Linked DNA regions of Saccharomyces cerevisiae S288C. Each later gene encodes a partner of the first gene's protein in a complex. Each region holds a gene or a part of one and is shown on either strand. Other genes may lie near its edges. A codon is read from its position in the direction of its gene.

Region 1 (6,395 bases):
AGCTGCAGCTTCAAAATTAGAGTCTTGATTCAATAAGTCCAGAATTTGTAAGCTCTCAGCGTTGCTGAGAACTGTACCATTAAGCCAAAGAATCATTTCCCTTTTGCTCTTGTATTTACAGTTCAATTCGATGTGTAAATTTCTTAAACGCTTATCGACCTTATTGTTGATATTTGGCGTAGAAAAAAGCTTATCCAAATACTTTTGCTGAGTCTCCTCATTCTTTACTTCCAGGATTTCTTGATGAAGATTATAGTCAAAGTCAGAAAAAATTGTGACGCATTTTTCGATACCGATCCTTGAGAGAAGAAGATCAAAGTTCGTCTCGATAACTTCAGTAACTTTGCCACATTCTAAACTTCCAGGTGGGCATTTTTTGAGTATGTAGTCGGTTATGGATACAATGTCCGTGTTATATTCTTTTTCGATGTCCTTAGTTTCTAAAATAAGTGAAAGCGCACTGGCGTACTTATTTTCACTTTTATAGATATGGAAAAGAACTTTATTGAAATTTTTTTCTTTTAGTTCCAGTATAAAATTTTCTGTTGTTCTTGAATGATAATAGGGTAAAAGCGACTCCAGAGCTATTTGAGAAATTTCATATATACCTTGAACCCTAGAGGAGCATATGGTATTAACAACGCAGTCGAGGGCTTGGTTAGACACTTTAATAAATTGAGGATATTTTGATATACTAGTTGCAATGAAAATTGCAACAAGTACCCTGATGTTGTCTGAATTTCCCGTATCTTTCATAGCATCCAATAGTAGATCAATAACATATTGCCTACTTACCAATTCTGCTTCTCCAACTGATGCAACCATGTCATTGTCATCGTTAAACAAGGACGCTTCAAACACTTCATTGAGCATTGCTAAGAACCTACTCGGATTCGATTTCAATAAAAGGTGAAAGTAAGGAAATGCTGGCTCTTCTTCTGGATTTTCGCATATGTAAAGTTTATGATTGCTGTTCGACGGCCATTTTATGGAGAAGCCACTAAAAATAAATGCTGAAAGTTCCCTTTGTATTTTGGAGCATTTATCACTTGGTGATATAGACAAGTTTTGTGGATATTGCCTGCCAGTAAGGATATACGTTACGTAATCAAATATAGTCGTTTCAGGAGGTACTTGAGGACCATTGAAGATCACACATTTTTCACTTTGGTTAGAAATCCTGTATATCAAGTCCACCACTGGGGTTTGATAATCATCAAAGATCTTGTTCCAAATATATATTAATAAATCGAACAAATTATACTTTTGGCATAGTTTGACGGCAAGATCAACATCAAGCGTAGTAGGATTTAACATGATGATTAAGTCTTCAATTACTTTTAAATTCTCCTCCTTAGCATAGTAATCAATTATGGACCTGAAAAGAACTGGGGAAATTGACGTAACTGATCCTTGGGCAACAATATTTGCTACAACTTCAAAATATACCGCGTTGTCCTTCAATTCAAAGAACTCCAGACCCTGTTCCAAAAAGACGTCTAGAGAAGGAATTGAGTCTAGTTTTTTGGAAGATTGCTGCAAAACACGAACAACTACCATTAATAATTGGTAAACCCTATTGTAGTCGGCATTATCTTTTTTTATAAGAAACCTTAGGGCAGCCAAGGACAGATTGTAAAATGGTTCCATAAGTTGCTTAGTCCTCTCTTCCGTATTATTATCTAGCTTCAACAAGTTTGCCAGTGGACAGTAAGGTTGCAAAAGTGATTCTATGAACTCCAATGCACCCAAGTAGTCGCCTTTCAAAATATGTCTTAAAGTAATATCTGACCAAGACACAAATTTGCCAATTTTAAATGAGTAGTTTGTTAACAGGTAGAAACTTCTTCTACTTATTACAAAATATTTATTAGGTGGGATCATCAAATCGTGAATCAGAAAATCCAATCTTAACAGGATCTTGAAGTCATGTTGGGGGTGCAATACCAAAAATTGGTGCGATATGGTTAAAACACCAAGTAGGAGCTGGTCAATCCATTGAATGGATAATATAGATTCTGCAAATTCAGGAGAATGGCTAGCGGACTGAACATTGAAGTCTGATGAAGATATGGAAATAACAGAAATTTTATTATTTACGGAATAAGCAACCCTGGAACAGTTTTGAGTCCATGAAATAGAGCTATTCACGACTAGAGAATTTTGTACTGAGGGTTCAACAGTTTCTTGAAACATCAAAGAAACGTGTGGCGATAATAAAATAAGGGCAAAATGTGTAGTTGTGAGTACACTCAACAAATTAGTGGAAATTTTCTCCCGTGATATTAGTGGAGACAACTTTGACCTTATTAATTTCTCCTTGGAAGAGTTCACATCTAAAATTTTTTTTGAATTATACACCAACTGCCAAAAGCCTCTTCTGTAACCGTTATAGAGTGATACTTTACCTGTCCTATCACTAACAATCAGGGCTGTATGCCGAGCACCAAAAAAGTCTAACCCTGTGATTTCCTTGTTCACATGGTCATCGATGTGTAAGACTGCCGGTAAGGCAGGCGTTGGGGTCATACCATTTGTTGGTTCAGAAGTGGGTTTCACTCTATACCCTACGTTCAAGTTCCAAATGCATATATTTCCGGTCTCGTATGAGGCAGCTACATGAGTACCATCGGAACATATGACAATTGATTTCACTGGACTTCTTATTGAGTGAATAGAAGGGTCCTCAGATAAGGTCGGCACTAGGATTGTCTGCAAATGTTCATTATAATTAAAAATGAGTACGCATCCTTTAGAAGTGCCCATCAAAAAATACGTGGCTGTCGGATACAAGCACGTGGGCCCTCCATAAGCACCCAGGATGGAATATACGTGTGTTAAAGTTGTCCATGAGACTACGGATTCGGAGCCTTGTGACACTGCAGAAGCTACCCCTTTAGGACCATCTTCGTTCAGGGGAGGTGCCGTATATGAAGAACTAGATGCCAGTTTTTCACTTAATTGGGTATACGATCTAAATTCTAGGAAAGTCTTTTGAGTGTCATTAATAGTCGTATCGATGCTAGATCTGCTGTCGTGGTCAAGGCCATTTTGCTCCATTCTAGGTGTAATGAGTAATGGTCTCGGCAGATATATATTTTACACTTATTAAGCCTTTGTATGTATTGGTAATAACTGTCCTTTTTCACGCAGGTATATCATCGTAACCAGAGGTTCCCTTTTTTTTTTTTCCACAGGAAACTCACGTTTTGATTATATGTCTTTCTCGTTTTTGCCATGTTAAGCTACGAATAATGAAATTTTCCTTTTCTTCTAATCGTGAAAAAGTTATCCACCATAACTCCCTACACCGCGTATTTTCGACAAGATATTATGAGTATGTGTATTTAAGAATATGAAAAGAGATATACATAACTTGAATATTCCCGGAATAAATTCAATTAATAAACACGATTCCTTATATAGTGGTTACACAAATTAGTAATAATGTTTCGTGTGCAGTCGAAAAGTTTATCGTTCAAAATTCCTTCTGTTTTTTTTAGCCTAAAACCTAAGTTATTTCGTTGTTTTTTTCATTTATTTGTTAATCTTTACAATGTTGTTTTTGCTTTAATGTTAATTATAAAAAGTTTATAAAAAAGCCTTTTATAATTTTTGCATAGCAGCAATATCGGTAGATTGGACGTGGTCTTCGTCTTCTTCAATGCTTTGTTGCAAGTCATCCAAGGAAACCTTGTCATCTTCGACAACACAGTTAATTTGCAACTTCTTGATACCGAAACCAATTGGGATAAATTGGTGAGCACCCCAGGTCAAACCTTCCATTTCGATGGCCTTGACGTTAGCAACCATTTCTTCCAAATTGGTTTCATCATCCCATGGCTTGACATCTAGAGTGACAATGGACTTAGCAGCTGGCTTAGCTGGCTTAGCAGCCTTCTTAGCGTTGTATGCGGCAATTCTTTCAGCCTTCAACTTTTCAGCTTCAGCGTCAGCTTCTTCATCGTCGGAACCGAATAAATCGACATCGTCATCTTCTTCTTCTTCGGCAGCGGCAGCAGAGGCAGCTGGGAAAGAGTCGAATTCATCGGCCTTGGAAGCGATGTGGTTGAACCATCTGGAGAATTCTGGGTAAGCAGATTGGAAAGCCTTGAAGACAGTGACGTCAGCTTGAGAAACAGCAGTACTATTTTAAAAGGAGAAACAAAACATTTTGCTTGTTAGTAATGAGAACTTTTTTCTTGTAATGCAATCTTTAGACTCTGTCTTTCTTTTTTTGAACAAAAAAGGAAAAAAAAATAACAGATAACTAATAATGATACTCTGCTCTGTGCTATCGTCAGATACTGTGATAGTCAACCACATCTCTTTTGTCACTCATATCGGGGGTCTTACTTCCCATCATAAACACGGACCAAAGAATTAAATTCATCATTCACATAAGCGAAAAAAAGTAATCATTATTAGTTAACTTCCCTTTACATGTAACCATAGGAAAAAAAAAAAAGAAAGAAAAACAACGATCTATAAAGTAAACTAAATCGGAACATACCCTTCAATGTATGACTTGTCAGCCAAAGAAGCGTTTAATTGTTTCAAAGTTTCAATCTTGGAGAAATCGGTGGATGCCATTATGTGTGTATATATTCGGTTGGACTCTTCAGTGCTGAAAGGTAGAAAGCATGAGGTAAAAAGATAAAGAGTAGAAGGAAAAAAAAAAGAACCAACTAAATATAGTGGGTAGATAACCTTAAACTATTTATTTAGAGGCGACAATGTGAAAAATTTTTTCTTCAAAGGCTCGGTTGTCGACAAATTGTTACGTTGTGCTTTGATTTCTAAAGCGCTTCTTCACCTGCAGGTTCTGAGCCCTAAGAAAAAAAATTTCCTTGGTTGAAAATGGCGGAAAAAAAAAATTCAGAAAAAGAAATAAAGCACGTGTGCGCGGTGTGTGGATGATGGTTTCATCATTGTCAACGGCATTTTCGTTCTTGTGGATTGTTGTAAACTTTCCAGAACATTCTAGAAAGAAAGCACACGGAACGTTTAGAAGCTGTCATTTGCGTTTTTTCTCCAGATTTTAGTTGAGAAAGTAATTAAATTATTCTTCTTTTTCCAGAACGTTCCATCGGCGGCAAAAGGGAGAGAAAGAACCCAAAAAGAAGGGGGGCCATTTAGATTAGCTGATCGTTTCGAGGACTTCAAGGTTATATAAGGGGTGGATTGATGTATCTTCGAGAAGGGATTGAGTTGTAGTTTCGTTTCCCAATTCTTACTTAAGTTGTTTTATTTTCTCTATTTGTAAGATAAGCACATCAAAAGAAAAGTAATCAAGTATTACAAGAAACAAAAATTCAAGTAAATAACAGATAATATGTCAAAAGCTGTCGGTATTGATTTAGGTACAACATACTCGTGTGTTGCTCACTTTGCTAATGATCGTGTGGACATTATTGCCAACGATCAAGGTAACAGAACCACTCCATCTTTTGTCGCTTTCACTGACACTGAAAGATTGATTGGTGATGCTGCTAAGAATCAAGCTGCTATGAATCCTTCGAATACCGTTTTCGACGCTAAGCGTTTGATCGGTAGAAACTTCAACGACCCAGAAGTGCAGGCTGACATGAAGCACTTCCCATTCAAGTTGATCGATGTTGACGGTAAGCCTCAAATTCAAGTTGAATTTAAGGGTGAAACCAAGAACTTTACCCCAGAACAAATCTCCTCCATGGTCTTGGGTAAGATGAAGGAAACTGCCGAATCTTACTTGGGAGCCAAGGTCAATGACGCTGTCGTCACTGTCCCAGCTTACTTCAACGATTCTCAAAGACAAGCTACCAAGGATGCTGGTACCATTGCTGGTTTGAATGTCTTGCGTATTATTAACGAACCTACCGCCGCTGCCATTGCTTACGGTTTGGACAAGAAGGGTAAGGAAGAACACGTCTTGATTTTCGACTTGGGTGGTGGTACTTTCGATGTCTCTTTGTTGTCCATTGAAGACGGTATCTTTGAAGTTAAGGCCACCGCTGGTGACACCCATTTGGGTGGTGAAGATTTTGACAACAGATTGGTCAACCACTTCATCCAAGAATTCAAGAGAAAGAACAAGAAGGACTTGTCTACCAACCAAAGAGCTTTGAGAAGATTAAGAACCGCTTGTGAAAGAGCCAAGAGAACTTTGTCTTCCTCCGCTCAAACTTCCGTTGAAATTGACTCTTTGTTCGAAGGTATCGATTTCTACACTTCCATCACCAGAGCCAGATTCGAAGAATTGTGTGCTGACTTGTTCAGATCTACTTTGGACCCAGTTGAAAAGGTCTTGAGAGATGCTAAATTGGACAAATCTCAAGTCGATGAAATTGTCTTGGTCGGTGGTTCTACCAGAATTCCAAAGGTCCAAAAATTGGTCACTGACTACTTCAACGGTA
Region 2 (7,916 bases), on another chromosome or scaffold:
TTATCGAGGCAAATGGTCTGTGAATGAAGCTCACTTACGCTGCAATAAGCAGCAACGGCATTGTAGTGATCATTTTCTACGCCTCGTAATATTTCAGCGCAGTGGAAAAAAATTGAAAATTTTTACTCTTCTCGAGTGTTGAATCACTGCTGCGATACTTATCACGTACTTTGTATACATAATTTTACTTGCAATTAGGACTCGAAATCTGTTCAATTACTTTTGAGGATTTCTTTTATTTTAGTTTCCCTTTTTGCATTCGTGTTGATTTTCAAGAAAAATTGTCGTTCTTCAATATCAGTAGACGATTTTACTCTCAGATTGTTAAAAAATCGGTTAAGATTAAAAGAATGAGTGTAGAAGATATCAAGAAGGCTAGAGCCGCTGTTCCATTTAACAGAGAACAGCTAGAAAGTGTTTTGAGAGGAAGATTTTTTTATGCCCCAGCTTTTGACTTGTACGGTGGGGTTTCTGGTTTATATGACTATGGTCCACCAGGTTGTGCATTCCAAAACAACATCATTGACGCCTGGAGAAAGCATTTTATTTTGGAAGAAGATATGTTGGAAGTTGATTGTACTATGTTAACTCCATATGAGGTTTTGAAGACCTCAGGTCATGTTGACAAATTTTCTGATTGGATGTGTAGAGATTTGAAGACTGGTGAGATTTTCAGAGCTGACCATTTAGTCGAAGAAGTTTTGGAAGCTCGCTTAAAGGGTGACCAAGAAGCCAGAGGTTTAGTCGAGGATGCTAATGCCGCTGCTAAGGACGATGCCGAAAAGAAGAAGAGAAAGAAAAAAGTTAAACAAATTAAAGCAGTCAAATTGGATGACGACGTTGTCAAAGAATATGAAGAAATTTTGGCTAAAATAGATGGTTATTCCGGCCCAGAATTAGGTGAATTGATGGAAAAATACGATATCGGTAACCCAGTCACCGGAGAAACTTTAGAATCTCCAAGGGCTTTTAACCTGATGTTTGAAACGGCTATTGGCCCATCTGGTCAATTAAAGGGTTACTTGAGGCCAGAAACTGCCCAAGGTCAATTCTTGAATTTTAACAAGTTGTTAGAATTTAACAACAGTAAGACCCCTTTTGCCTCAGCCTCTATCGGTAAATCATTTAGAAATGAGATTTCCCCAAGGGCCGGTTTATTAAGAGTCCGTGAATTTTTGATGGCAGAGATTGAACATTTCGTTGACCCATTGGACAAATCTCATCCAAAATTTAATGAAATCAAAGACATCAAGCTTTCCTTTTTGCCTCGTGATGTTCAAGAAGCTGGTTCTACTGAACCAATTGTCAAGACAGTTGGTGAAGCAGTTGCTTCAAGAATGGTCGATAATGAAACTTTGGGTTACTTTATTGCCAGAATTTACCAATTTTTGATGAAAATTGGTGTTGATGAGTCCAAATTGAGATTCCGTCAACATATGGCTAATGAAATGGCACATTATGCTGCTGACTGTTGGGATGGTGAATTGAAGACATCTTACGGGTGGATTGAATGTGTCGGATGTGCTGATAGATCTGCCTATGATTTGACCGTTCATTCCAAAAAGACCAAAGAAAAATTGGTTGTTAGACAAAAATTAGATAATCCAATTGAAGTCACCAAGTGGGAAATTGATTTGACGAAAAAATTGTTCGGTCCAAAATTCAGAAAAGATGCACCAAAAGTTGAATCTCATCTATTGAATATGTCTCAAGATGACTTGGCTTCCAAGGCTGAGTTATTGAAGGCAAATGGCAAGTTTACTATAAAGGTTGATGGTGTTGATGGCGAAGTCGAGTTGGACGATAAATTGGTTAAAATCGAACAAAGAACAAAGGTTGAACACGTTAGAGAATATGTTCCTAGTGTCATTGAACCATCTTTCGGTATTGGCCGTATCATCTACTCCGTTTTTGAGCACTCTTTCTGGAACAGACCAGAAGACAATGCCAGAAGTGTTCTTTCCTTCCCACCTTTGGTTGCTCCAACAAAGGTTCTTTTAGTTCCTTTATCTAACCACAAAGATTTAGTTCCTGTTACTACTGAAGTCGCCAAAATCTTAAGAAAGTCTCAAATCCCATTTAAGATTGATGATTCTGGAGTTTCCATTGGTAAAAGATATGCCCGTAATGACGAATTAGGTACTCCATTCGGTGTCACCATTGACTTTGAATCTGCCAAAGACCATTCTGTCACTTTGAGAGAAAGAGATTCCACCAAGCAAGTTAGAGGTTCCGTCGAAAATGTCATCAAGGCTATCCGCGATATCACTTACAATGGTGCTTCTTGGGAAGAAGGTACCAAGGATTTGACTCCTTTTATTGCCCAAGCTGAAGCTGAAGCTGAAACTGACTAAATAAATGACTTAATTTTAACTATATATCGCCAAACATGTAAATTAAAAAAAGAAGCGAGAAGTATATACATGTGTGTATGAATAAATAATTCGTTTACTATTGATACGTATTGCAAGATATGATTATGTACTGTCCACTAATACGATTATTTTGGAAGTTTATAAAAGAAGTGCGGAAATCACATCTGCTGTTTATTTAGCCATTCCTCACACTAATAGTTAAAGTACTTTCATAGCAGCTCTGCGCATGGTCGGACATGCGAAAAATTCTGATATCAAGAAAAAGCGAAATATTTCCGGCCTTGTAGGGGCCAAAACATTAACGTATATCAAGATTTCCTGTGGTAGCAACATTATAAGAAAAAAAGGTAGCCTTCATTGAAACATTCTCTCTATCAGCTTACCAAGTTAAACTCCGTATTCCACAAGCAAGTGCCAAAATGTCTTCTTCCCAGGTCGTCAGGGATTCTGCCAAAAAATTAGTTAATTTACTGGAAAAATATCCAAAGGATCGTATACACCACTTGGTCTCATTCAGGGATGTACAAATAGCAAGATTTAGACGTGTAGCGGGTCTGCCAAATGTAGATGACAAAGGAAAATCTATAAAAGAGAAAAAACCCTCATTAGATGAAATAAAAAGTATAATTAACAGAACTTCCGGTCCATTAGGACTGAATAAGGAGATGTTAACCAAAATTCAAAATAAAATGGTAGATGAGAAATTCACGGAAGAAAGCATCAACGAGCAAATTCGTGCCTTGAGCACTATAATGAATAATAAATTCAGAAACTATTACGATATTGGCGATAAGCTCTATAAACCTGCAGGAAATCCCCAATATTATCAACGGTTAATAAATGCCGTTGACGGTAAGAAAAAGGAAAGCTTATTTACTGCAATGAGAACTGTATTATTTGGTAAATAAAGAGCACATTATTTTCTAAGCTTGTAAATACATATTTATTCATAATGGAGAACGTTATTCAAATTTATCTGTGAATTTCTTTACTCGAGGTATACTTCCGCAAAGGAAATTCTACTTAGCAAATCCTATGGTAACGTCATTGTTTTGTAGCTTGTAAGTGGAGCCTAACTGATTCTTGATTTTCGTAGCATCAGCAACGGTCTCGTATTCCACGAAAGCTAGGTTACGAACGCTAACTAATCTGATTTCAACTAAAGCCTCATTGCCAAGTATTTGCGACAATAATTGCTCGGTAGTGCCGCTTGGCAAATTTTGTATAAGAAGGACTTTGTTCGGTGGATTTTCCATTGTATTGGACACTTTAGCCCGCTTAAGAGGTTTCTGCGATTGTTTTAGATTTTCTTGCTGAGACTTCATGTTTTCCAATCTACGGGTTTCAAATTCTTTTACAATCCTATCAATCTCAGCCTCCTCTACCTTTCTTGATCTCAGCTTATGCTTCAGGCGTCTTATTTGCCTTTTAAGCCTGAACTTTTTGGCGCATATATCATCACTACGTAACTTGCGTTTAAGTTTCCTTGCTTTAAGCACCTTCTTTATATCAAGGTTGTACGTTTCGTCATTACCTTTTTTTTTTTGCATTTCTATTGAAAGACCCAATAACGAATTTGTTCGAGCCTTTCCCATTCTCACTTTACGACCTTGAACTTTTAATGCTGTTGTCGTGTATTTTTCTAGAAACCGGTCTGCTTCTTCTTGAGTGACAAACGTTAAAAATGCTTGGTTAGTCATCTTTGATGATCTTGAAATAGAAACTTCAAGAAGGCCCATTTGATCATCTAGTAACATCAGCGGTTGTGATGATATTTGTAATTTATTGTGGGGAAGGGGTAGCGACGGATTAATGGCATACTTGTTGTTGGGATTAATGTGTTTCAGAAGTAATCTGGTATAATTTTCTTTATTTGCTGGCCTACTGGGTAAATTTTGAAAGTACAGTCTGTTTTTATTGGTCATAGAGTATAGAATAATGAAAACGTTAGTAGAAAGAAGATTTAAGGAAACGTAAATTACAAGGTATATACATACGCTGACATGGTTTCTTTAGGTTTGATGAGGCCGTCTTTTGTTGATAGCAGCTTTTTCCATTTTTTTTTTTTTTGTTTCGAGTAACGTATGGTTTAGTATCTGTCTTCTCCTTCTCTTACAAAAAAACCCTTTGTAAAATAGTGCCGAGTTGGAGGACATCAATCTGATGGGCAAGAAAACACCAACCCCCCCTATATGAAAAGAAAATGATAAGCAGATAGATAAAAATACTTAATTAACTAATACATAAAAATAAGAGGTATATAAAAATATTATATGGAAGCAATAATTATTACTCTTATTTCTTAGCAGCCTTTTGAGCAGCCTTGGTAACCTTAGCGGCCTTTTCAGTCTTGTCAACAGACTTGATAACACCGACAGCGACAGTTTGTCTCATGTCTCTGACAGCGAATCTACCTAATGGTGGGTATTCACTGAAAGCTTCAACACACATTGGCTTAGATGGAACGAACTTGACCAAAGCAGCGTCACCGGACTTCAAGAACTTTGGATGGTCTTCCAACTTCTTACCAGATCTTCTGTCGTTCTTTTCCAACAATTCGTCGAATCTACAAGCAATGTGAGCAGTGTGACAATCCAAAACTGGAGAGTAACCAGCAGAGATTTGACCTGGATGGTTCAAAACAATGACGGTAGCGTTGAAAGAAGCGCAACCCTTTGGTGGATCGTTCTTAGCGTCACCACAGACGTTACCTCTTCTGATTTCCTTAACGGAAACGTTCTTGACGTTGAAACCAACGTTGTCACCTGGAACACCTTGTTCCAATTGTTCGTGATGCATTTCAACGGACTTGACTTCAGTGGTAACACCAGCTGGGGCGAAAGTAACAACCATACCTGGCTTGATGACACCGGTTTCAACTCTACCGACTGGCACAGTACCAATACCACCGATCTTGTAAACATCTTGCAATGGCAATCTCAATGGCTTGTCAGTTGGTCTAGATGGTTGTTCAATGGCGTCAATGGCTTCCAACAAAGTCTTACCCTTGACGACACCGGCCTTGGTTTCCTTTTCCCAACCCTTGTACCATGGAGCGTTGGTGGTAGCTTCAATCATGTTGTCACCGTTCCAACCAGAGATTGGGACGAATGGAACAGTCTTTGGGTTGTAACCAACCTTCTTGATAAAGTTGGAGGTTTCCTTGACAATTTCTTGGAATCTGGATTCGTCCCATTTGACGGAGTCCATCTTGTTGACAGCAACAATCAATTGTCTAACACCCAAGGTGAAAGCCAACAAAGCGTGTTCTCTGGTTTGACCATCCTTAGAGATACCGGCTTCGAATTCACCGACACCACCAGCAATAATCAAGATAGCACAGTCAGCTTGAGAAGTACCAGTAATCATGTTCTTGATGAAATCTCTGTGACCTGGAGCATCAATAACGGTAACTTGGTACTTTGGAGTTTCGAACTTCCACAAAGCAATATCGATAGTGATACCTCTTTCTCTTTCAGCCTTTAACTTGTCCAAAACCCAAGCGTACTTGAAAGAACCCTTACCTAATTCAGCGGCTTCCTTTTCGAACTTTTCGATGGTTCTCTTGTCAATACCACCACACTTGTAAATCAAATGACCGGTAGTGGTAGACTTACCAGAATCGACATGACCGATAACGACAACGTTAATGTGAGACTTCTCTTTACCCATGTTTAGTTAATTATAGTTCGTTGACCGTATATTCTAAAAACAAGTACTCCTTAAAAAAAAACCTTGAAGGGAATAAACAAGTAGAATAGATAGAGAGAAAAATAGAAAATGCAAGAGAATTTATATATTAGAAAGAGAGAAAGAAAAATGGAAAAAAAAAAATAGGAAAAGCCAGAAATAGCACTAGAAGGAGCGACACCAGAAAAGAAGGTGATGGAACCAATTTAGCTATATATAGTTAACTACCGGCTCGATCATCTCTGCCTCCAGCATAGTCGAAGAAGAATTTTTTTTTTCTTGAGGCTTCTGTCAGCAACTCGTATTTTTTCTTTCTTTTTTGGTGAGCCTAAAAAGTTCCCACGTTCTCTTGTACGACGCCGTCACAAACAACCTTATGGGTAATTTGTCGCGGTCTGGGTGTATAAATGTGTGGGTGCAACATGAATGTACGGAGGTAGTTTGCTGATTGGCGGTCTATAGATACCTTGGTTATGGCGCCCTCACAGCCGGCAGGGGAAGCGCCTACGCTTGACATCTACTATATGTAAGTATACGGCCCCATATATATATATATATATATACATTAAACATTATTGGTAAATACACCAGCAACCGCATGATTGATGTTATGGTGGAATATAGGTAGCTAAAAAAACTCTACATAACAAAGTAATTGTTTACATTGATCTTGACCTATCAAATTTCTTTCACATTTTGGGTTTATAGGTCAATATATTGATATATATGTGTAGCTATTTTCGCTTGCTTTCAAGTCACTTCTTAATGGTGGCTCGCTGTCTCTCCTTTGCTAGGGACAAAAATTCGCCTTTAATGGCACATATGCCATGCTTTGAACAGGGAACACGATATATAACGTCATTGCTCGGACATGTTTGGGTGGACCTTATTCTACATGTTTTACTTTTCTCGTCATAATGGCGATGACAGGAAGGGCAAGCTCATCTCCCCAGCTTTAAAGGGTAGCTCAAGGAACACCTACTTCTCCTTGTTGGGAGGAGTCCTGAATAAGGAGTGTCGAATATAGGGAGCTTCATTCGTTGTCAAGAGAATACCAGATCACCTGTTTGGATATATAAACGAGTGTAATAATGCAGAATTATTCCATTTATTTCAGTCGTATATTCAATTGGCTTGTCCCCTCTTACTGTAGTCTTCGATTTGTAACCTCTACGTAGACGATTATACCTTACTAATCAAAAAAAGAACAAAAAAATGGCACAGTTCTCCGACATTGATAAACTTGCGGTTTCCACTTTAAGATTACTTTCCGTTGACCAGGTGGAAAGCGCACAATCTGGCCACCCAGGTGCACCACTAGGATTGGCACCAGTTGCCCATGTAATTTTCAAGCAACTGCGCTGTAACCCTAACAATGAACATTGGATCAATAGAGACAGGTTTGTTCTGTCGAACGGTCACTCATGCGCTCTTCTGTACTCAATGCTCCATCTATTAGGATACGATTACTCTATCGAGGACTTGAGACAATTTAGACAAGTAAACTCAAGGACACCGGGTCATCCAGAATTCCACTCAGCGGGAGTGGAAATCACTTCCGGTCCGCTAGGCCAGGGTATCTCAAATGCTGTTGGTATGGCAATAGCGCAGGCCAACTTTGCCGCCACTTATAACGAGGATGGCTTTCCCATTTCCGACTCATATACGTTTGCTATTGTAGGGGATGGTTGCTTACAAGAGGGTGTTTCTTCGGAGACCTCTTCCTTAGCGGGACATCTGCAATTGGGTAACTTGATTACGTTTTATGACAGTAATAGCATTTCCATTGACGGTAAAACCTCGTACTCGTTCGACGAAGATGTTTTGAAGCGATACGAGGCATATGGTTGG

What was found.
Region 2: the proteins of EFB1 (region 1) and TEF2 are in contact, whole or in part, in a crystal structure (PDB 2B7C), measured with the Saccharomyces cerevisiae proteins. Residues at the interface, in NP_009398.1 of Saccharomyces cerevisiae: Lys120 (codon at 3,870), Ser121 (codon at 3,867), Ile122 (codon at 3,864), Thr124 (codon at 3,858), Lys128 (codon at 3,846), Pro129 (codon at 3,843), Trp130 (codon at 3,840), Asp131 (codon at 3,837), Asp132 (codon at 3,834), Thr152 (codon at 3,774), Trp153 (codon at 3,771), Gly154 (codon at 3,768), Ala155 (codon at 3,765), Gln157 (codon at 3,759), Ile159 (codon at 3,753), Pro160 (codon at 3,750), Ile161 (codon at 3,747), Gly162 (codon at 3,744), Phe163 (codon at 3,741), Ile165 (codon at 3,735), Gln169 (codon at 3,723), Asn171 (codon at 3,717), Val173 (codon at 3,711), Val174 (codon at 3,708), Asp176 (codon at 3,702), Val179 (codon at 3,693), Ser180 (codon at 3,690), Leu181 (codon at 3,687), Asp182 (codon at 3,684), Asp183 (codon at 3,681); in NP_009676.1 of Saccharomyces cerevisiae: Lys20 (codon at 5,990), Ser21 (codon at 5,987), Lys64 (codon at 5,858), Arg67 (codon at 5,849), Glu68 (codon at 5,846), Arg69 (codon at 5,843), Gly70 (codon at 5,840), Ile71 (codon at 5,837), Thr72 (codon at 5,834), Ile73 (codon at 5,831), Asp74 (codon at 5,828), Ile75 (codon at 5,825), Ala76 (codon at 5,822), Leu77 (codon at 5,819), Trp78 (codon at 5,816), Val89 (codon at 5,783), Ile90 (codon at 5,780), Asp91 (codon at 5,777), Ala92 (codon at 5,774), Pro93 (codon at 5,771), Gly94 (codon at 5,768), His95 (codon at 5,765), Asp97 (codon at 5,759), Phe98 (codon at 5,756), Lys100 (codon at 5,750), Asn101 (codon at 5,747), Gln249 (codon at 5,303), Asp250 (codon at 5,300), Val251 (codon at 5,297), Tyr252 (codon at 5,294).

Annotation. Positions count from the first base shown.
Region 1 is NC_001133.9:140,372-146,766, reverse strand, and holds EFB1 (translation elongation factor 1 subunit beta), read right to left. Parts: upstream 4,594-6,395; coding exon 4,514-4,593; intron 4,401-4,513; exon of another isoform or gene 4,299-4,400; intron 4,148-4,298; coding exon 3,607-4,147; downstream 1-3,606. Other genes in the region: CORVET complex membrane-binding subunit VPS8, read right to left, coding at 1-3,060; Hsp70 family ATPase SSA1, read left to right, coding at 5,336-6,395. UniProt on the Saccharomyces cerevisiae protein: Catalytic subunit of the guanine nucleotide exchange factor (GEF) (eEF1B subcomplex) of the eukaryotic elongation factor 1 complex (eEF1).
Region 2 is NC_001134.8:475,802-483,717, reverse strand, and holds TEF2 (translation elongation factor EF-1 alpha), read right to left. Parts: upstream 6,048-7,916; coding exon 4,671-6,047; downstream 1-4,670. Other genes in the region: GRS1 (glycine--tRNA ligase), read left to right, coding at 351-2,354; CBP6 (Cbp6p), read left to right, coding at 2,795-3,283; MUD1 (Mud1p), read right to left, coding at 3,395-4,283, 4,373-4,380; transketolase TKL2, read left to right, coding at 7,281-7,916. UniProt on the Saccharomyces cerevisiae protein: GTP-binding component of the eukaryotic elongation factor 1 complex (eEF1). In its active GTP-bound form, binds to and delivers aminoacyl-tRNA to the A-site of ribosomes during protein biosynthesis.